Nothobranchius furzeri: one gene and its partners. The protein of the gene in region 1 interacts with the protein of each later gene in a pairwise test. Links are inferred from orthologs where the notes say so. Each region holds a gene or a part of one and is shown on either strand. Other genes may lie near its edges.

Region 1 (4,504 bases):
TGTGCAGAAGGAGGCGGCTGCTGACGCTGGGCCTTGTTTGACACAGCCCCCCCCCCCTGTAATTTGTCCCCCGCTGACGAACGCCATCCAAAATGTCCTCTCACATCTCTTTGACTTCCTTTTGTCTCCACCGTGTCCGTGTGTGAAGGTTTTAAAACAAAGCATCAATAAATTAAGCGCGTGCAGCAAATGAACCCGAACCGGATGTTTCCCAGGATGCTGCAGGGCGAAAACGCTGCAACAGTGGAGGCAGAGAAATGAGAATTACCACAGAAATAAGTAATACATCCAAAAAAAATGTGCTTTCTTCTACAAAATCTTTGGGACCAACAAAAGGCAGGTAGCAACAACAAGCTAGCTCTAAAACGCAACAGGACAGGTGCAGCCGGGATTCACTGGAATGAAAATGAGGTTTAAACTACAGACGGATGAGAAAACCATCATTTCACACACTTTATGACGCGTGCCTCCCTGTCCTGGAGTTCGTCTGATCTTCTCCTCGTCTCCAGGAGAACGAAATGGACAGCGTTCAGCCGTTTCCGGTAATTATCGTGGAGGAGGAGGAGGCCGCTGAGCTCCACACGAGTCATGCTGCAGGACGAAGAAGTGACGATGGTTTTTCTTCTCAAAGGCAGAGAAAGGAAAAGAGAAGCTGAGGTAATGCAGAAAAACAAAAACTGGCTTTCACACATCTGAGCGCGACGCGTCTGGTTTCCCACGGCTTCGCTCCACGTCTGGGTTAAAAACGACCAGACGGGACGCGGATGGAGTCCATCGGTGGCTTCATTTGTCCTTTCAGTTGGATTTTCATCAGAAAAAGAAACAATAATTCCTATATCTTCTGTGTGGAGCGTTCCTTCAGCTGCAGATTTTTCACTATAGCTTTATTTATAAACAGATGCGATTACGGTAGTGGGTAGAAGCTCCGTGTCGTCGTAGTGCTCAAAAACACAAGTACCAGTGTACTGTAGTACTCTGGGGGAGCTGTCTGTGCGTCAAGTCCAACGCCGCAGGGACGAGCTAACTGTGTGTGTGTGTGTGTGTGTGTGTGTCAGATTAGAGGAACGGGGGATGACAGGGAGGGACTGTAGTGCGTTGGGTCACACAGGAACTGCAGCCCCTCTCACGTAGTGTTTTTAAAAAGGATCCCAGAATCCTGCCTTTGCAGTTCCAAGCAGCTGGATCCAACTTTTGCGTGAAGGAAAAACATCCTTTCCTTCGATTCCACGTCAGCGACAGACGGAGGAGGACGGGCCGAGGGGAAGACGTGGCAGGGACGCTTCTCGCCACAAAGAGAGGGAGGGACGCCGGGCAAAAACCCAAAACAAAACAAAAACACGTGAGTCTGCAGAAAAATGGAGGGGAGCTGCTGCCGAGCGCAGAGCTGGAGACGGGGTTTCGGAGCAGAGAAATTCCTTGGATGTGGTTTTAGTACGGAGCGAAGCGGCTGTATCCCGCTCGGTATAAACTGGCCTGGAAAACACAAGGAAACAAACGCTAGACAGCTTCTTACTTTGTGACCTGATGCGACAGCTTTTGTGTTTGCGGGAACTCACCATGGCGCCGACTCCGTAGGCGGCAGCAGCTGGAGCTAAAGCGTGGTACGGATCTGTGGTGTACACCCGACCGTAACTGCAAACGCGAAACAAAGAGCTGAAACTTCCACCTTTCACACATGACTCCGTCTCAAACGCGTCTAAGTGCATGAAGTCGGACTCATGTTGCTTCTGAACACACTTCAGCAGGAGAGACTCAATCCAGCATTTGTATAAAACACTTTGCTTCTCATTCTCAGAATCAGAAACATCCAGTCAGTAAGAATTAAAGACACAATCCAGAGTTTTCCCACTTCCAGGAATTATGTAGGGTCTTTGTGTGTGAGTGTGTGTGTGCTCTTTCAAATATACAAACCTGCATAAACGGAGTAATGTGAGAATAATAATTGTACGTGTTTTAGCTCTGTTGGCTTCGAGACTCCCTCACAAGTAGCTGCCGGCGGTCTGAGGAAGATTAAACTGCACAAAAACATCTGCAGCAAAGCTCCGATCCGATCATGTGATCGGAAGTCGGGCCCAATAACAAGATTCTAAAAGGATCGGATCAGGAGACAAAAAAATAATAATTCGGATTTAACCTTTTAAAACAGCAAACATAACATTTTTAATTAATCCTGAGAGAGATTTTCAAATTTAATAACAGTGGCTTAGTTTTAACTTTATAAAGTTCCTCTAATATCCAAACAAAACATTAACGTCACAACTTACGGCAGGCGAGGACTCGGACACCAAGACGCAGCAAGCAGGCTAACGCAGAGGTAACGCAGCTCTAACGCAGAGCTAAAGAAGCGCTAACGCAGCTCTAACGCAGAGCTAAAGCAGCTCTAACGCAGAGCTAAAGCAGCTCTAACGCAGAGCAAAAGCAGCTCTAACGCAGAGCTAAAGCAGCTCTAACGCAGAGCTAAAGCAGCTCTAACGCAGCTCTAACGCAGAGCTAAAGCAGTGCTAACGCAGCTCTAACGCAGAGCTAAAGTAGCTCTAACGCAGCGCTAATGCAGCTCTAACGCAGCGCTTACGCAGCTCTAACGCAGCGCTTACGCAGCTCTAACGCAGAGCTAAAGCAGCTCTAACGCAGCGCTTACGCAGCTCTAACGCAGAGCTAAAGCAGCTCTAACGCAGCGCTAATGCAGAGCTAAAGCAGCTCTAACGCAGCGCTAATGCAGCTCTAACGCAGAGCTAAAGCAGCTCTAACGCAGCGCTAATGCAGAGCTAAAGCAGCTCTAACGCAGCGCTAATGCAGAGCTAAAGCAGCTCTAACGCAGCGCTAACGCAGCTCTAACGCAGAGCTAAAGCAGCTCTAACGCAGCGCTAATGCAGAGCTAAAGCAGCTCTAACGCAGCGCTAACGCAGCTCTAACGCAGCGCTAAAGCAGCTCTAACGCAGCGCTTACGCAGCTCTAACGCAGAGCTAAAGCAGCTCTAACGCAGCGCTTACGCAGCTCTAACGCAGAGCTAAAGCAGCTCTAACGCAGCGCTAATGCAGAGCTAAAGCAGCTCTAACGCAGCGCTAACGCAGCTCTAACGCAGAGCTAAAGCAGCTCTAACGCAGCGCTAATGCAGAGCTAAAGCAGCTCTAACGCAGCGCTAATGCAGAGCTAAAGCAGCTCTAACGCAGCGCTAACGCAGCTCTAACGCAGAGCTAAAGCAGCTCTAACGCAGCGCTAATGCAGAGCTAAAGCAGCTCTAACGCAGCGCTAACGCAGCGCTAAAGCAGCTCTAACGCAGAGCTAAAGCAGCTCTGATGCAGCTGTAACGCAGCGCTAACGCTGCGCTTACGTGTCTCCTCTGGAGAGCTCAAATGTCGCCAGCTTGGTGACGCGAACTCAGACAAAAACGCGGAGCCAGCCGACTGCAGAAGATACGCTAATGAACAGAAGCTGCTAACAAACTACATTACAGTGGGTTGTGTCCTGCAGTGCCCGAGCTGCAGGTAGCTAAAGGTGTTGTGCATGGAAAAGTTAGCTTTTTGCAGCTCTGCTGCTAAGCCCGTCTAATGTATCTATAAAAAGAGCGCTGTAATTGGCCCCGCCTACACTTAGCCAAGCCAATGGCAGACCGCTCTGCAGAGCTAAGCCTTTAGCTAAAGTTTGTCTAGATTTCTTGGGCTAAAAAACATCTGAATGCTCACAGTAACTAAACAAGGTTTAGTGAGTTATTTTTATTTATCACAGAAGGATCTGGGTTATGTTCTGGTGGTGTGTGTGTGTGTGTGTGTGTGTGTGTGTGTGTGTGTGTCCTGCGCTGGCCTCACCTGTCACTGTAGGCGGCTGCTGCGGCGGTTGCTCCGGTTACCGCTGCAGGCTGAGCGTAGCGGTAGGCGGCAGCGGCGGCGGCGGCAGCAGCAGCAGGGTAGCCTCCCTGGAAACACACACACACGTGCACACACACACACACACACACACACACGCGCTAACTGGCATGACTCCGAGGAAGAAATGTAATCATTCTTAAAATAAGCACACAACTAGATTATTTAGGACTACAAACACAAACGTTTCCCCACATTTACAATAGATAGGATGTGCTGAATGTGGAAATGTGGCGTTGGATGTGGGGCTAGACATTTTGTACATGAGAGAGAGAGAGAGAGGGCGAGAGAGAGAGAGAGAGAGAGAGAGAGAGAGAGAGAGAAGGGAAACTGTGTGAGTACTAGGGAGAGAGGGAGGTAAAAACAGGGGAAGATGAAACGCTCACGCAGCTGAGGACATGTTGATGAGACAGAAAACTGGAATTGTGGAGGGAAACCGCCGACAGCCTGACTCCACAGGATGTTCGACACATTTAGTAATCTGATTACTTGTGTTTATGTGTGATTACAACAAACACAGAGAGGAAGGTGGAAAACAAAGTCACACAGAAACACACACCCCCACACAGACACTAAAATCACCTCCATGCATGACCCAGAGTTAGTCGAGACCTTAAAAATGAACACCCCCCCCCCCCCCC
Region 2 (6,071 bases), on another chromosome or scaffold:
TGCACCATTTCCAGGAACTAGAAGTGAGCCACATCACAGCAGAGCTGCGGACTGCAGGTTTTGGAGTCATACTTTCTGACATTTTACTTTAAATCCTATTTTATATATCTTTCTTTTTGCACCAAGTACCGTAGCAGTTTCCTATTGTGACTTTTTGCACATATGGCAATAAAACCCATCTGATTCTGATATTTGGGCATCTCACCTCTGATTGGATACAATCAATGTAAATCTACCACTGACTCCATTTGCTTTGCAACGTTGATACTTTATCTTCACAAATAACACGGGCCTTTAACCCAAGACCTCAAATGGGAGCCCACCATCACCTCTGTCACAACTAAAGCCCATAACAACAGAGGATGTACTTCCTGAGGCAGCTGAAGAAATTCAACCTACCAGTACAGTTGATGAGGCAGTTCTACACCGCAGTCATCGAGTCCATCCTCACCTCTTCAATCACCGTGTGGTATGCTGGAGCTACCACCAGGGACAAGAAGGAGCTGCAGCGTGTTGTGCGTTCTGCTGAGAAGGTCATTGGCTGCAAACTCTCCTCCATACAGGACCTGAACACCTCCAGGATGTTGAGGCATGCAGGTCGGTAACAGCTGACCCGACTCGCTCCCATCTGGCAGGAGGACCAGAACCTCTCGACACAAGAACAGTTTCTTCCCTTCTGCAGTTGGTCTCAAGAACGACAATCCTAGGGCTGCCCACTCCAGTCGCTTGGTTTCAGTCACATGACCCTGTGTTGTTTGTACCTGAACTGATCCGCTCTGATCAGTACCTACACTGTCTTGTATATAGTAGCCGTTTCTCTAATTATTGCCAGTTTATATTATTATTTTATCAAGATTATATTCTTACCTCCTATATTTACTTATCTCTTATTTTTATTGTTCTTTTTGCACCAAGTACCGCAGCAATTTCCTAATGTTTTGATTTCTCGCACATACGGCAATAAAACCCTTCTGATTCTGAAGCCCGAAGGAGTTCTGCCATGTGGTGATGTAGCTAATGCTAATGGTTAGCTTCTACTAGCTAACATGTTCTCTGCTGTTTCCTGGAAGCTAAACCAACAACAGACTTGTTGCTGGCCTAGCAAGGCGCCTTGACATTGAGAAGCACCCTGCATGAAAAACTCGAGAGTGACGGATTATAATCAGAAATAAGATATATATATATATATATATATATATATATATATATATATATATATATATATAAACAATGTCTGTAAGGGTTAAAGAAACGTTCCAACAGAATAAATGAGTGAAGATCAAAGATGGATGATTCATTTCTATGAGTTTGGCGTGGATGATGAGAACACACCTCTCACCTTTCCTTTCAGTGATGAGCGTCTGCCGCCGGGCCTTCATGTCCAGGCTCAGGTTCTCCACCATACGGTTGATGCAGTTGTCCAGGGCCAGACACCGGGTCTGGGACTCGATAGCCTGTCTACAGATGGGACACTCGTTTTTCTTCTTGCGCCACAACTTGATGCAGTAACAGCAGAAGCTGTGAGCACAGTTCAGGATGACCGCCTGTACAGGGACATTTTTTTTTAATTTCAGCAGGTGAAGTCGGGTTTTTGTGAGTAAGATGATCCCAAACAGGTTCCTGGCTCTACCTCGATGAAGAGCTCTGAGCAGATGATGCACTGGAGCTCGTTCTCCAGAACCTCTGTGACTTGTGTTACTACCTCCTCCTTTTGGGCTTTCGCCTTTTCTTTTTCCTCCTGGAGGAAAAAAAATATGAATCAAAGTGACAACCAAGGTAAAAATGTGTGTTTTAAAAAGTGTCTTTCAGGCACCTTTGTTTCTTCTAGTTCTTTGTTTTTCGCAGAGAGGATTTCTTCAAATGTTTTTCGAGAGTCGGCAAGCTCGTCGATCACTTTCTTTTGCTGTTTGTTGAAAAAACAGGCACAAAAAAACTTTTTATTACATTTAATCAAAAACTTAAAGAAATAAACTAAAAAACTGTTAGTTTAAATTAAATGTGTTAACAGCTTTTAATTAGTTTAATTGAACCTTCTTACTTCCTGAAGAGCCTCTTCAAGTTGTTTTTTCATTAGCTCCTCTTGCTGCTGTGTTTTCTGCTCCTAAACGCATAAAAGACAGACGATTCACTTAAATTGAAACTTTATTTTTATGGACATATATATTTTTCTAATTGTAAATGCAGATGAACCTTTTGATTCACATATGTCAGAACAAGAAGGGTGAGGAACGTGTTACTTTCCATATGTGGCGCTTTTGTTTGAAACCCCAAAAAAGATGCTCAATATTAATATGCTCTGGAATATTAATATCGATATGGAATATGATGCAGAAATGTAGCTCTTTAACAGGTTTTGTTATGTTTAAGATCTTTTTTTTGCAACGTTACCAAGATTATTTAAAGTATGGCTGAATCATTTTGAAATGTGGAGAATTAAAAGTTAAACTAACGCTGTAAAATAAAGCAATTGCGGGTTGGGGGAATGAAAATGTAACGATGTTTCAAAAAGAAAAAAAAACAACACTCCTGACCTCCAACTGTCTCCTTGTTTTACTGAAGGTTCTCTCTAAAGTCTTCATTTGACACATTTTGGCTCTAAGGGTTTCCAGTTGACCCTGCAGCTCACGGACCTGCTCCCGTCGGAGAGGATCTGCCCGCCTGGGTTCTCCTCCAAGAGATGATACCTGCTTCTGGGTGTCATCCACCTGCTCCCGTAACAGCAGGAGATTCTGGCTGTACCTGCAGGTTATACATTAATATTTACAACTTTTACACAACAGAACATCAGAATGGACAACTCCTAAAGAGTATTATTTTCATTAAAAGTAGAGAGGAGTCTGTTTGAATATGTGACACATAATTCAGCAAATGTATTAAATAAAAGCTTGTAAAGGAGCAGTGTCTTTGGTTTGATTGAGAACCTTTTTTACGAGGAGTCACACTTTACCTCTGCAGGTTGTCCACTTCACAAGGATCACTGGATCCATCAGAGTGCTGCTCTTGTTTTTGTGTGCTGGATGCCGTCTCCTCCAGGTGTGTGTTACTGAGCCGCTGCTGGCATTTCACCGCAGACAGAGGACAGGGTTTTGCAAAAGATTTCCCTTCTGAATCGCAGCGGTACAGCTTAGGCTTTGATGTAGAAGGCTCGACTTCCTCCACAGTCAACTTCCTTTTGGATTTTTTGGAGACTTGCGGCTCTTTAGCCCAAGTTCTACATGCCTTTGCCAGGTACGGCTGAATGTTTCTGAGCAGTCGCCGGATGAGGATGTAATCAAATTCTACTTTGGTTCCTGATAAAGGAACTCCAAGTCGGATCGAGTCTCCAAGTTTGAGCAGGTAAGGTTCATCGGCAGAAATCCGATTTCCGTTCACCCAGACACCATTGAGACTCTGTGGAAGATAATTAATAATAATAATAATAATAATAACTTATTTACTAAGATTTAACTTGGTATTAGCTGCTGCTGTTAATAATAGCCCCATCATCTGTTAGAGATCAATTTTAGGAGAGTTAGCTCAAGAAATAAGGCTACCTTTTTGTCTACCACTGTCCAGTGACCGTCTTCTATCTGTCTGAAGGCACAGTGCAGTCTGGAGATCATGAGAGGACTACTTGAAGACAGCAGCTGGTAGGTGACATCCAAACCACGTCCAACAGTGATCTGAGCAGTCAAAAACAAACGTCAATTTACAGTTTTTCCATATAAACAGGGTCCACTACGCCGTTAGAAAAAACTTAATGAATAAAATGGCATGCCTATTGTATGTATACATAGCACAATCCTGAAAATGATTTTTTTTAGTTAAGCTAACATTAGCAAACTGTACCTCTGCCTTTTCGAACAAACGAAGCCAGTCTGATTTTTTTCCGACTCTCATCAGACACAAGACCTCCGAGTCCGAACATTCACCGTCCTCAGCCGAACATGAATCCGCCGTTGCACTATCCATGTTAAGCCATTCTGTCACAGGCCAAACACTCCGCTGTTGTTGTGTCTTATATGTATATGTCGATGTGTGTCTTCCGTCACATAACTGCTACATGCTAACGCGGTAGCGATCCGGGAGACACCGGAAAACGGTACAATTCATTTCGAAATAAAAGCGACGGGAAACTGCTAAAATAAATATCAATGTTTTATTTATTATTTCTTGTATAACGGCACGTATCACGTGTTGTAAATCTTTTGAACAAGGCAAAATAAATAAAAAAGTATGAATAGAATAGGTTTCTGGGATACGTTACTCTTTATTTATTGACATTTTTAAACATGAAAGTAACGTTAAAAAGTAAATGCTAGTATTTTGGATGATAAATATTTTAATATATTAAATATATTTTTGCTTTATGAAGTTTAAATTTTTTTTAAAGCAATGAATTTTTTTTATCGAAAATTCAAATTAGAGCACTTTGTTGTTGTGATTTGTTCTCAGTCAGGCAACCCAGCACCCTAAAACGAGTGCACCTAACCCCGGGGCGGGACTTCCTGTCTGCACCGGAAGTCCCAGTGTTGAACAGGCAGAAAGGGCTTGGTCCGTGTGTCACCGGTCTTATCCGCGTATGTCTGGACGGGAGATAACCAGGCTGCCGAAGCTGCGTAAATAAATCTCCACCTCGGCTATGCTGCCCTGAGAGCGCCGCGAGTATCCGCCCCGCCAAAATGTCTGATGTCAACAAGACTATTCAGAAATGGCACGCCAGTTTCAAGAAAGGCACAGACTTTGACTCGTGGGGACAATTGGTAGAGGCTATAGACGAGTACCAAATGTGAGTTACATTCAACATGTGTGTCTTATTTTTGTACGATTGAGTGTAAACATCTGGAACAGCGAGGACGGCTTGTTTAGCTTTTTATTTTTTTGCTGTCTTAAAGCTTGTCAGCTCTTAAACCTGCAGAAGTTAGCCTCGGAGCTGTCAGTCAGCCCCCACAGCAGTAAATAAACCCTTCCCATCCATGACGTGATGTGGCATTGTTGCAGAGGCAGCGGAGTCCCATCCCATCTTCATTCACAGAGGGGAGAAGAACAAAAAGAAACACCCAAAGCTGAATGTCTTGTTTCTGAGCGTTAGGAGAAGAGAATAACCAATATTCCTTAGAGTGTTGGGAAACAGTCAGCCACACCCTCTCATTGTTATGGGTGGGTTTCGTGTGTTCAGTGAGGAAAGCTCTCTTGTTCTCTGAGGAGATCAGACTCCGCAAGTTATTTCAGGATGTGATCATGTTTATGTAATAATTCATTTTAATGACACGTTTTAGATTTCTTTAGTGCAGATAGATGACTTGACAGTGTCCCACGTTGACCAAAAGGGGGCGCAGAACAGCCCACTGATGTGACAAATCGTCTTGGAATTGATTGATTAACCCATCTAACTGTTCTCGTTAATCCAGATTAGCAAGGCAGCTGCAGAAAGAGGTCCAAAATTCAAATTCATCAGATTTCACAGAAGAGCAGAAGGTAATAATTGCATCAGTCTGCAGGCTAAACTCGCCTGCTTTGCTTCAAATCACAGCATCTTGTTTCTTTCTGGACATTCAGAAAACCTTAGGAAAGATTGCAACATGCCTGGAGATGAGAAGTGCCAGTTTGCAGGTTTGTGTTCTTACTTATTTCTCTTTTTGTATGATAGTGGACAACCAGACTTAGATGTGTTTTGTTGTTACTGTGAACTTTTGTTGTTATTGTGCACTTTTCTGGCTTTAGCGTCATTATTTTCAATATTTGTATGGCAGTTTGTCAGTTTTGCATCATGTTTTGTTCTCCTTTTGCAGCAGTTTGTGGTAATTTTATTTCCTGTCTGAGTTTTTGTGTTTGAGGTTTGTAGATTTATGGATTTTTTTTTCATCTTCATTGCTTTGTGATACAATTCTAGTTGTTTTTTCACACTTTCCCGTTTATGTTGCAGTATTTGATATATTTATTTTAATATAAAGACCCTTTCCAACTAAAAAAATAAAAAAAAGCACAAAGGGTGATTAAAATCCTTCAAAACTTAATTTCTGAGCATGTGGCGATCATATTCATGTATTTATTACCAAAGTAAGACATGAACGTAAATCTTTCTCTTGAGT
Region 3 (4,860 bases), on another chromosome or scaffold:
ATTAAAACTAATACATTTGCCTCATGTTTATTTGAACTTCGTCTTAAAAGAAAACTAAAATGATCTCAGAACTGAATGTGATATGTAGCTTTAGCCTCTTGTCCCGTAGAGCCCCATGCAACTCCAGTAGAGCGCTGCTCAGCATTAGCGTCATAAAGATGTCTGTCACAGAGGGTGCATGTGCAGAAGTATCTAGACAGATGCAAAGATGGCAAAATTTCTCATGGACACATTTTTAAAAACACGAGTAAACAGCATAATGTGGATTATTCATAGTAACAGAATTTGTTTTAACTCTGTTACAGGTTCTCGTTCACAAACCAGAGGCATTGCTTCCAGCTGTGATCATGGAAGTGGAGAGAGGGCTTTATGCTGCAATATATTTTTCTGCCTCTAGATTTGACAACAAACTCCAGATTTTTGCTTTGAATACATACCAATTTATTTATCCGTAAAAGCATTTTGCAATGAGCTAATCTAGAAGTGAGTGAGAGCAGATGGTGGAAGTAAGAACAAAGGCAGGGGTGTCATTAACCCTTTAGTTTATTACAGGATGTAAAATAAGTCAAAACAGTTTCTAGCTTTCTCAAAATCTTCTGACCCACAAGGAAGTCCCAACTAACTCAACATGACACACGAAACCTAAACTAACCTCTGATCACACTTACGCCTCAAGCATCATGTCTGATGGGACTGCCAAAAGGCCAGTAATCCCTAACACGCACACACACACACACACACACACACACACACACACACGGAACATTATCTGAGGCCGAGTTTCTTCTTCTCTTTCTGTTTCTTGCGAACCACTTCAATATTTCGGTCCTTCCACATGCTCTTCCTCAGCTTGATGGGGCGACTCCCAACATACTTCCCTGGAGAAAAACAAAAACCCACTCAGATTGAACACGTCCCCAGGACTCCTGGGATTAGTGTGGTGTCACCTGACTCACCGTTCATCTCTCTCATGGCTCTGACGTAGTCGTTTGGATCTTTGAAACTGACAAAGCCGTAGCCTTTGGTCTTTCCGGTCCGTTTGTCTCGAACCACCTAGAAATGATCATTTCATGAATCCATGGAATCACATTTGTTTACCCACAAACAGGATTAAACCCTTTATCTCTTTTCTAACTTGCCTTTGTTGCAATAAAGCTCTCCAATTCTAATTTTCAGGTCACTTTCTGTAACTGGAAAGGAGAGCTGCACACCCATCCTACTGAAGCTTCTTTGATGGATCCATTCCTGTTTACGTTCTCTGCTCTTTTAAGGTCTGAACTTTTATGTGCTCTACTCGTTCACTTCGTATAGATTTATTAAACAATGATTATCCAAACCGACCAGTCCTGTGAGAAACACTAACCAACCCCGAAACCTACAGAGCCAGGCTTACCTTTGCTTTGAGGAAAGACGGGTATCTGCTGAAGGTTCTGGCTAGAATGTCATCGTTGACCTCATTACCAAGATCCCCACAAAATATACGAAAATCATCTGAAACAGTTCAAACACATGAATCACCAAAGTTCTCAGACAGCTTTAAAAACAGGAGAAATAACACCAGCTTTTACAGAACCGTTCATTTGGGTCAGACACCCTGGAGCTCCTACTCAAAAAACGTATACCAAGGGGTCGTGTGTGTGTGTGTGTGCGCGCTTGTTATCGGCCCATTTCTCTGAGGTGAGGGGGTTGAGGGTGACGCTGTCAGTCACTGCCTCAGCACCACTCTTGGTTTGCCAGGCGATTCCTACTTTAGGTGCATTTTTCAAACAGGAAGCGTGGGTGGAGTAGGGGGTGACTTGCTCTTTAATCATTCTCATTCTATTGACTCCAGCTTTCCATAGAGTTCAGTTCCTGCCAGCAGGGATTACCTGACTCCCACTCCAGCAGACTGGCATCCTCCCAGCTGGACCCTGCTGCTGTACGGATGCACTTCTTCACCTTTTCGTTCTTGCCTTTCTTCTTGTCCTCTGTAGAACTTTCCACAGGCTGGAACAGATAAACAATAAAAAAAAAATAAAAATAAAAACACACACACAAACTTTGTGAATTCATATTCTCACATTTTTACAGTTCTGATGGCCTGTTGTGAAATTTTCACATTAGAAATAATCACTAGAGATGTAATGTAATGACCATTGCCACTGGAGCTAACTAAAGGGCTGGCTCTACTCCACCCAGGTGTGGTATAAAGTGTTGACATCTGGGTAGCCTGGATTTTTTTTTTTACGTGCTCAACCGGTTGTTTACTTCGGCCCAATTCCCAAGGCGGTCTGCTTCAGGCTGAACTGGTCCAACACACCCACTGCCGACTGATTGGCCGGCTCAAATTCACGGCTACCATTGGGGGAGCTGATTGGCGGGTAGAATCTGCCAGCGGGGGCTTCAATTCATTATCACTCCCGATTCTGAGGAGTGAACATAGACTCTGACTAAAGCTGTTTCTCTGTCTCTGTCTGCTGTGAGGAGCATGCGCTCGCGCTGGGCCTGAATCTGAAGGCGGAAACAGACTCAAGAGTTTTGTTTTAGTGAATAATACATCTCGTCACCACTGATAGATGTTTTCATCACACAATTCAGATAACAATATGTTATAATCACCTCAATGTGAGGGGGCTCCGGCTCAGGCCTGTTTGGACCAATCACAGAGTTGCTCTCATCACTCTCCTTCTTGTCAAGTAGGCCTGCCGCCAATACTGCAGCCTGCTGCTTAGCAACCCGTGCTGCCAGTTCTTCCTGATGGACACACACACACACACACACTCACAGTCACTTCCCATGTGGCAGTGTTTAGTTATTTTAGATGCAATACTTCAGATAAACATGTTTAGATGTTGATCAGAGTGCAGACACCATTCTGGCTTGTCTCTGGGCCTGAGGATCAACTCTCTTATGTCCAACCGTCACAGGTGGAGCAGAGTACACCGTTGGTGCTGCCTGGATGATGGATGGCGTTGGTTTGAGGGAGGGCGGGCCCACCGATCTTGGAGGGCCTGGCATCATCGGGACAATGTCACCAACCTGAGAACAACACCAGAACAACTAAATAAATGATGCATACTCCGCAACCAAGTGCTGATGGATATCGTCTCTTTACCTGAGGAGAGGCTGCAATGTGCTGAATGGGCTGTGGGGGACCGTGAGGTATCGGGCCTGGCAGGGAAGGAGGAACCATCATGGGGGGAGGGGGAGGAGGCCGTGGTAGGGGAGGTGCTACTGGAGGACTGCGCATCATCGGTATCCTCTGACCACCTATCAACACAGAGCTACCATAAACACCCCATCTCAACAGGAGGAGGAACAAACCACCAGGAGTCCAGATGTTTCAGAGTTCCACAGGAACTTCTGCTAAATGTCACATTTTATCTCTTAACATTCAACCCTGAAGACCAAACAACTGAAAACATGAACATCACAGCATAAAATAAGCTGTTTTTATGTTAGATTTAAATCTGGTAGCTCTGTTGTCCATCATCAGATTATTTTACGTAATTCAGCTTAACCAAAGACCAGCCAGTCCAAAAGTCGGTCGTTCTTTGTAGCTCAGTTGTCCCCACAGCTGATCAAAAACCAAACACCTGTTATCCTGATCTGTGATTAGCCCAGAGAAAAGACTCCAGCAATTCAAATTTCTGTCTGATGTTTAAAACACGGTCGTGTCAGAGGCTGCTTCCTCCTACCATCATGACTAATGACCCAGTGGGAACATCTGTCGCTCCACTGGTCATTATCTTCATGTTGAAGATATTTAGGTGAGTAAAGAGAAAATGGATTTACTGGGTCTCTGCAGGATGTGTGGAACAAAGGCTGGTCTCATGATGGGAGGTGGAGGTGAACGAATGGAGGGAACTGGTGAGCAGAAAGAGAACATCACATCAGAACGCCATCACGAACAACTTTAGCTTGTTATTGTAAAACAGAAGCATGTTTGACTCACGTTTTAAAGAGCATCAAAAATAACTCTATCCAGTTACGATGCATTTAAAACACTGACAAACCGTGATGCAATATTTTTCTTTAGCATTTAGAGAAGGCAATCTTACAGCATGGATTTTATTACCTGGTCCCACAAACGTTGGTGGGGGGCCAACAAAGCTAGTCGCTCTAGCCTCTAGAGTCTGCTGGACCTGAGAAGGTAGAACGGGGTCAAAAGCATTCTGAGCTTTTTCTCAATCAATAAATTGACCATTTTTTCTCTGTAAGTTTATTAATCACCGGTAGAGAAAAAGGATTGATTCACAACACAAACCTGTCTGTAGGTGTTTGTCCCAATAATCGGTCGCACCAGAGAAATGACTGGGACAGCCAGAGCTACGGCTCCTGGGTCCATGACAGGCGGACTTCCGGATATCGGCACTGGACCACCAAGAACCTCCTGCTCAAAACTACAGAGGAAATTACATTTGAAAGAGAACATTTTTTTCTATCACAGTAGTGGGTAGGGCTGCACAATGTATCGCAAATTTATCGTTATCGTGATATCAGCATGCGCAATATGCATATCGCAAAGAACAGATAAATATCACAATGAATGGTCAACTCAAAAGTTTGCTACACATAATGCATTCTGTCAATCAAACAGAAGCATGATGTTTTTTTAACAAGTCAACTTGAGCTCTTCACCCATTTGGCCAATTGGGTGGGTTCTCAGGTTAGATGCCCGCCCCCGAGGCAGACGGGACTTAATTTTAATGGTTAGCAAACACCTGAGTTAGCTTTGTTCTGCTCTTTCAGCTGATTCTGCTTTTCCCAGGATCCACTGATTGCCACGAGTAGCTTTGGAGCTTCCAAAATGGCTCTTTAGCTTCCGAACCCATTTTATTAGGGTCAACTGGGGTGGGGGGCTTTTTGGGTTGTCAAGTT
Region 4 (6,064 bases), on another chromosome or scaffold:
GTTTTCTTAGCTAAACTGAATAAAATTATAATTTCTTACTTAAGCCCTATTCATATCAGTTTATTCCAAACCTACAGAGGGTCCACTCCAAATTCCTTTATCCAAACAAGGTCTGGAAACTGGCCCTGGCTACAACATATCTTTGACATTCACCATGCAGGCGACCATATTTCACCTCAGCTCCATCGTCGGCTGAGTGCTGCACTACGTAAAGCATCCAGAACACCTGATAATAATTCTTATCAAAGCGACTCTTTAGATTAGGAGCGCGGGGGCCGAAACCTGCATACCTCGCCCTGCAACAAGCCCATGTTTGGTTGAGCGCCGGTCCGCGAAAGATAAACACTAAGCATCATCGAGCTTTGGAGGTTGAGCAATGAAGTAGGCATGAGGAGCCAAGCTTGCAACAGTGCTTTACTGGTGCGAATCAGTGATCCATTGACTTGAGAGTGTGTAGAAGTGGGGGTTGGGGGGGGGGGGGGGGGAGCATGTGAGAGTCACACCAGCAAGGCTGTTAAACTTTAGCTCTTATAAGGTTACAGTTTACAGTTGCTATGGTGTTGTTAAACTTACAGCGGTTAGGTATTTGGTGTATTTGATGGAGCGTAGGGAAGATTTTAAAAGGCTGAGACAGTCCAACTCCCCATCATAAACTCGTCCTGCTATTATACCAAGCACCGTGTGCGTCTGTGCAAAACCTACCTGAAGCATGTCCACAAGAGAGCCTGTCAAAAGCACAAACTCCCCCGAAAGCCTCACTGATCTCCCACTAACACCACATGCTGTTTCCACGAAGACAAAGTGCCGCGGTCTAACCTTATGTTAATTCATCCGAGGAAATGTAAGTGTCTACTGTCCTGGATGAGTTCCAAACATTTCTAAGACATTAGATTCCTCTGGCCATTACTCCCCCCTGTTTGTGCGCTGGCTACAGACGGCTCCCGTCTGGTCCTTCGGCTCGTGGACATGATAGAAATTCAAACGTGCGCCACGGGCGAGCTGAGAGGTTTAACTGCCCAACAACACAAGGCTGCAAACAAACCAATCGCTAAATAACTGACATTTGCTGATTAGTGTTTGATGTATTCCACCTATGAAAACGAGACCTTCCAGAATAAAATCCAAGGTCAAACTGTTTCCAAAGTTTGACTGATTACAAAAATGTGAAATATTTATTACGCTGAATAAAAAGGAGGGCCAGTTTATATCTTTTTGCAGGTTTTTGGCTATTTTTACACTGATATGAATTCCAGTATTGATGGGAGATCTACAACAGCTGTATGTTAATGAACCCTCAGTGCTTGTTGATCTCAGTGACAGTGGAAGCAATAATGTGTGGAGAGTTGTGATTCAAGAATAAAGACACAAGTATCTCATTGTGATACAGCTCTTGAGGACCAAACTGCATTTAAAAGTTTCCAAAACCTCTCACCATATTTCCAAGGACTTCCTCGAGTGTTGTCGCTGAACTTGTGTTTTCAGATAAATTTCCTCACCGAAAACATTCCGAATCACTGTGGTCTTCAAAAAACTGTCCAGAACTTTTCTAAATTGAATTTCCGTGAGTCAGAAAGGAAGAAAAATGAGAGACAGCTTTTGAAATGGTTGATGATGAAATCAACATATCAAATGAGGGAAAACTGGCCAACAAAATGGGACACAGTTAGGACACTGTTACCAAATCATAACGAGAAAATTTGAATGGCTGTTGCAGTTTTTTTTTGCCTCATATTCCCTAAAAGACCCTCCTCATTAAGGTGGGACTAGTCCCTGTCAGCAGAGAGACACTGACTAAAGACGTGTGTAGACGATGCGTATTTATCGCAGAGGATACCCTTAAACCTTCTCAGCGGCCTAGTGGTATGAGTGTCCACCCTGGGACTGGGGGATCGGGGTTCACATCCCGGTTGGATTGGGAGATTAAACCATACAATAGTTCCAGAGCGCAGACACTGCTGCTGGGATGGGTCAAATGCAGAGATGCAATTACACCAGTGAGTGGTGACTAATGGGACTGGAACTTTAATGTAACATTTGACAATGAAATGTTGTAAGATGAAGATAGAGATCAAATGTACTATTTATGTCACATAGGACTGAAATTTTTGATTTTTGCTTTCAGAATTGAGGTTTACTCCATTTGTATAGCACTTCCTCTTGGTCAGATCAAACAAAACACCCACAGATGTTGTTTTCTTTTAGTTTATGAACTTCTAAAATGGTAATTTTGATTGCATAGACCCACAGTGCATCCATAGAAACCTCGGCCACGAACCAAATATGGTATTAAGTCAGTCCGTTTGGCGATTCAGTTACATTGCACCGACACTAATCAGATTACTCCAAAAGAGAAATATCTGATACACCTCCTCTACGTCTCCATCTCTCCTCTGAGGAGATGTGGAGCTCAGAAAAGGGCCAAAGCAAATAAACCCCAAACACAGACATCCACAACAAGAGATATCACTGAACCAGATTGTGCAATGTTTACAGAAACTGGGCCATTCTCTTATCCATTTAGGAGGGGAGAGAGAGAAACACAATTATATCACGTGTTTTCAGACAAACAGCATCAATCTGGTGTGTTTAGATTAAATTAAGCCCCGGTTATGAAAGGAGATATTCTCCTCTGTGAGCCTGGGATACTTAAGAGCTCTTGCCAACATGTTGCAGCGGCAGATGTTTGAACTTCAGCGGCTTGGCTGAAAACTCTACCTCGGATCACAAACGCTCTGACTTTTGTCTGGCTTTACTGGTGCAGGAACTTCAAAGATGTTCACAACAAAAAGTTGATAGCGGGAAACCTGGTGAGCTGTGGTGGAGGAAACTTAGATAGAAGCTGAATAAGTTTGGTTTCTTCTCGTTTTTCTCTTGAAAACAGATATTTTAGGAATTCGGCGGCTAAAATAGTCACACGAACCCCCCTGACGCCCCTTGTAGCGCGGCGGAGGCAGCAGGTAGGATACATACCTCCTCTTCGTGGTTGGTGAATTCACTCGGCTCGTTCTCTTTCTCGATTTTGTTGTTATTCATTCTGAGTCTTTGACACTTTCACTTCTTCTCTGGTCTCTGCTCTTCTCCAAAACCCACGAATGATGACAAAAGCAGCTCCCCGAGACAGTCAGAGGGAGTCCGGCTGTCCTTCTCTCACCGCACTCTACCAGTACGCATCAATAACGGCTGATCTTCTTCTGGTTCTTCTTCTTCTTTGTTGGTATCAAAAGCGGTAAAAACAGGAGTCAGCTGTGAGCGGTGTTCCTCTCCTGTCGGGTATTCCTCAGCATTCCCTGGAAAGCTTTACCGGAGGCGCTTGTTGTTGCTGTTCCCCCTCCTGAAACGGAGTTAATGCTCCTTGTACGTGCGCCGGAGGCGAACTTCTCCTCCTCTCTTCATCTCCGAGTCCGTAACGTCCGCGCGCGCGCCGCGGAGGGAGGGGTCTGGGTGGGATGCAGCGTTTACCCTCCACCGGAAAATCTGCATCCATCATCTAGAAAACCAGCTCAGATGTTATTTTAGTCCCTGAAACATTCCTGCAACGTTTTCCTCACGCGCTGCTTCGTGTTGTCACGCTGTAAGAACACATTTGTTTATTAAATACGCAAAAAATGTGATTTTGTGGTTTTATGCGTTTAAATACCTAAAAGACCCGGTCATTTCAAATGACTTTTGCTTAAACTTTTACTGTTTGTTTTTAATTATTTTTATTCAACCATTTAGTTTTATTTTTGTTTAACTGATCTTTTTCATATTTTTACTATACTTTATTCTTTTTTTTTTGTCTTGATTCTTGGGTGATTTTCCTTGTGAATTACTCTGTGACATTTTTCTGTGGTTGCTATAAATAACCTTTCGCTCACTCACTCACTCACTCACTCACTCACTCGCGTTATAACTAATTATTTTTTATGGTTCAATATTTTTATGACACACAAAGGTTAAAGTCTAATTCAGTAGGTAGAGTGGGTTATCCAGTATTCAGAGGGTTGCAGGTTCGATCCCAGCTCCCACCAGAGAATGCTGCTGTTGTGTCCTTGGGCAAGACACTTAACCCACCTTGCCTGCTGCTGGTGATCGGAGGGACTGGTGATGCCTGTGTACAGCAGCCTCGCCCCTGTCAGTGCACCCCAGGGCAGCTGTGGCTACATTGTAGCTCATCCCCACCAGTGTGGGGACATATCTCTCACATCTGACGAATACACGCTCGACTATCTCCTCAACTGCACACCTTTCACAAAGTCCATCTAAAGCAAACTCAAAGCTGGTGTGTGTGTGTGTTTTCTATAGGTCAGGATGGCCTTAACCAACACCTCCAGGCTCATCTCATTGATTGACTCCTTTATCTACCTGCAAGGTGAATGGTTACATGATGTGTTCAATAAGAACATGGGAACTTATTTGTGTGGTTTTAGTTTAAGCAGATTATCTGTTGTTGTGACTGAGATACTTTTACATACTTTATCTTGCAAATGTAAATGTGAGACGAGTCTTTGTGATCTTTTTGTTTAGTGGGGGTTCTGGCCTTGAAGTTATTCCATGGTGCCATTTATGTAGTTTCTTTCTTATTGCAGAGTCATGCCGTGCTTTAGATGTTGTTCTAGGTTATTTTGTTCTGGAACTCCTTTAGAACGGGACGCGATGTGTTGCTTTTTGAGATTTTAGCCTTCTTCGTGTAGCAAACAGGTTCTGCTCAAGTGATTTCTGTGTGTTGCTAGGGGTTGTATAAATCACAGTTTATTCATGATTTAACGAGCAGGGGAACTAATTTTCCACAATGGGACAGATTGTTTTGGACCCTTTTTTCTGTCAGTGATGAAAAAAATGTAATTACTCAGACTTTCCTTGTCTGAAAATTAAATGTATTTGCAGATTCAAAAAGTTTCAATGTTAAAATAAGCAAAGAACAGAAACAAGGACAGTTAAAGAGCAAGTCATCCCCAAATCAAATTTATTTTTTTTTTTGCTGATAAACTATATTGTCCAACCATGCTATAGACACGTGTAGTCAATACTTTGGCACTTTAGTGAATCTTAGTTCAAATTTAAATATTCTGCTTAAAACTGTCAGTGTTGTGCCCTCTTCAGGTAAAAACTCTGCACTGCATTTGAATTTAAAACTGCCATCGCTATTGGCTAAGAAGGTACCCTATGACTTTAGCTGGTACATTATGATGTCACAATGTCATTGTGAGCCTGAGTGTGTGCATTTGTTAGCGGCTCCGCCATCCTGGTCTGCCAGGCGACAGCGTCTGTTGAATTTTTCAAATCAGAAGTGGGAGTGGAGTAAGACTCTGGTAGGGGGTGACTTGCTCTTTAACTCATTCGCTGCCAGCCGTTTCCTGATCGCTAACGGCCTTCGCTGCCAGTGTTTCTCGCCGTTTTTACTGTTTTTTTAAGAGACACAGAACGTTGCGCGCTAGGATGATGTCAATGCCAAAACAACCAAAACAAAGAGGAGACTCACCTCTTTCATCAGGAAGAATCCGCGTGTTTCGAGCGTTATCCATTCTTTCATAATCCGTTGTCGAGTTGTGATCGGCAGACGCTTTTCCGGTTCGCGCCTCACTTTTTTTTACAGGAACGGCCCAAAACGATCTCCTAACACATGGATGTTCTGCTTCCTGATCATGTGACGTGTGACATATACGGATGAATATCGGCCTCAGGGCTGAGATGTTTGTTTTCTCATTGTGGGAGCTCGTTCCGATGCTCAAACAGTAAAAACAAAATGCAAATGATGACTTTAGTCGTCATTGGCAGTGAATGAGTTAGGACTGATATTATATTAAGTGCAGTTTGTTTAATTAACTGTTTTTCATTAAAGAAATTATTGAGACCAGGCTTTGTGAAGGATAGAAATCAGTTTTTTCCACAAATCGGTGTATTGTTCGAGTGGCATACGTCCTTATCACACCTTCTTCTGTTGTGTGTCTAAACTTTAACAGAGCTCCATGACAGATTTAATAGTAACTATGGCATCATAAGATGAGTCATCACCCAGTTAGGCATGCAGACGTGCTACCTCAGCATCTTCAGATGCAACATTCAGCAGAACTTAAGCTCCACA

The links.
Region 2: the proteins of RNA binding protein fox-1 homolog 2 (region 1) and rnf8 interact in binary tests that used the Homo sapiens proteins (3 or more experiments, as listed by UniProt). The two-hybrid records come from large-scale screens. The link is inferred for Nothobranchius furzeri from reciprocal best matches to the Homo sapiens genes RBFOX2 and RNF8.
Region 3: the proteins of RNA binding protein fox-1 homolog 2 (region 1) and rbm42 interact in a two-hybrid assay, tested with the Homo sapiens proteins (2 studies listed by BioGRID and IntAct). The link is inferred for Nothobranchius furzeri from reciprocal best matches to the Homo sapiens genes RBFOX2 and RBM42.
Region 4: the proteins of RNA binding protein fox-1 homolog 2 (region 1) and RNA-binding protein with multiple splicing interact in binary tests that used the Homo sapiens proteins (3 or more experiments, as listed by UniProt). The link is inferred for Nothobranchius furzeri from reciprocal best matches to the Homo sapiens genes RBFOX2 and RBPMS.

The regions. Positions count from the first base shown.
Region 1 is NC_091752.1:66,481,907-66,486,410, forward strand, and holds part of RNA binding protein fox-1 homolog 2, read right to left. Parts: intron 3,914-4,504; coding exon 3,807-3,913; intron 1,633-3,806; coding exon 1,557-1,632; intron 1,474-1,556; coding exon 1,429-1,473; 3' UTR 1-1,428. UniProt on the Homo sapiens protein: RNA-binding protein that regulates alternative splicing events by binding to 5'-UGCAUGU-3' elements. Prevents binding of U2AF2 to the 3'-splice site.
Region 2 is NC_091742.1:8,357,921-8,363,991, reverse strand, and holds the start of rnf8 (E3 ubiquitin-protein ligase rnf8), read right to left. Parts: upstream 4,083-6,071; 5' UTR 3,952-4,082; coding exon 3,829-3,951; intron 3,663-3,828; coding exon 3,534-3,662; intron 3,391-3,533; coding exon 2,948-3,390; intron 2,740-2,947; coding exon 2,532-2,739; intron 2,102-2,531; coding exon 2,039-2,101; intron 1,904-2,038; coding exon 1,814-1,903; intron 1,739-1,813; coding exon 1,631-1,738; intron 1,545-1,630; coding exon 1,340-1,544; coding exon of another isoform or gene 1,333-1,339; intron 1-1,332. Other genes in the region: aida (axin interactor, dorsalization-associated protein), read left to right, coding at 4,662-4,768, 5,391-5,457, 5,539-5,592. UniProt on the Homo sapiens protein: E3 ubiquitin-protein ligase that plays a key role in DNA damage signaling via 2 distinct roles: by mediating the 'Lys-63'-linked ubiquitination of histones H2A and H2AX and promoting the recruitment of DNA repair proteins at double-strand breaks (DSBs) sites, and by catalyzing 'Lys-48'-linked ubiquitination to remove target proteins from DNA damage sites.
Region 3 is NC_091745.1:58,662,719-58,667,578, reverse strand, and holds the end of rbm42 (RNA-binding protein 42), read right to left. Parts: intron 4,383-4,860; coding exon 4,247-4,382; intron 4,125-4,246; coding exon 4,058-4,124; intron 3,847-4,057; coding exon 3,775-3,846; intron 3,250-3,774; coding exon 3,095-3,249; intron 3,066-3,094; exon of another isoform or gene 3,019-3,065; coding exon 2,851-3,018; intron 2,734-2,850; coding exon 2,599-2,733; intron 2,039-2,598; exon of another isoform or gene 1,987-2,038; coding exon 1,869-1,986; exon of another isoform or gene 1,832-1,868; intron 1,492-1,831; coding exon 1,394-1,491; intron 1,272-1,393; exon of another isoform or gene 1,177-1,271; intron 1,054-1,176; coding exon 957-1,053; intron 879-956; coding exon 766-878; 3' UTR 526-765; downstream 1-525. UniProt on the Homo sapiens protein: Binds (via the RRM domain) to the 3'-untranslated region (UTR) of CDKN1A mRNA.
Region 4 is NC_091742.1:66,797,757-66,803,820, reverse strand, and holds the start of RNA-binding protein with multiple splicing, read right to left. Parts: upstream 3,491-6,064; 5' UTR 3,034-3,490; coding exon 2,971-3,033; intron 2,960-2,970; exon of another isoform or gene 1,433-2,959; intron 1-1,432.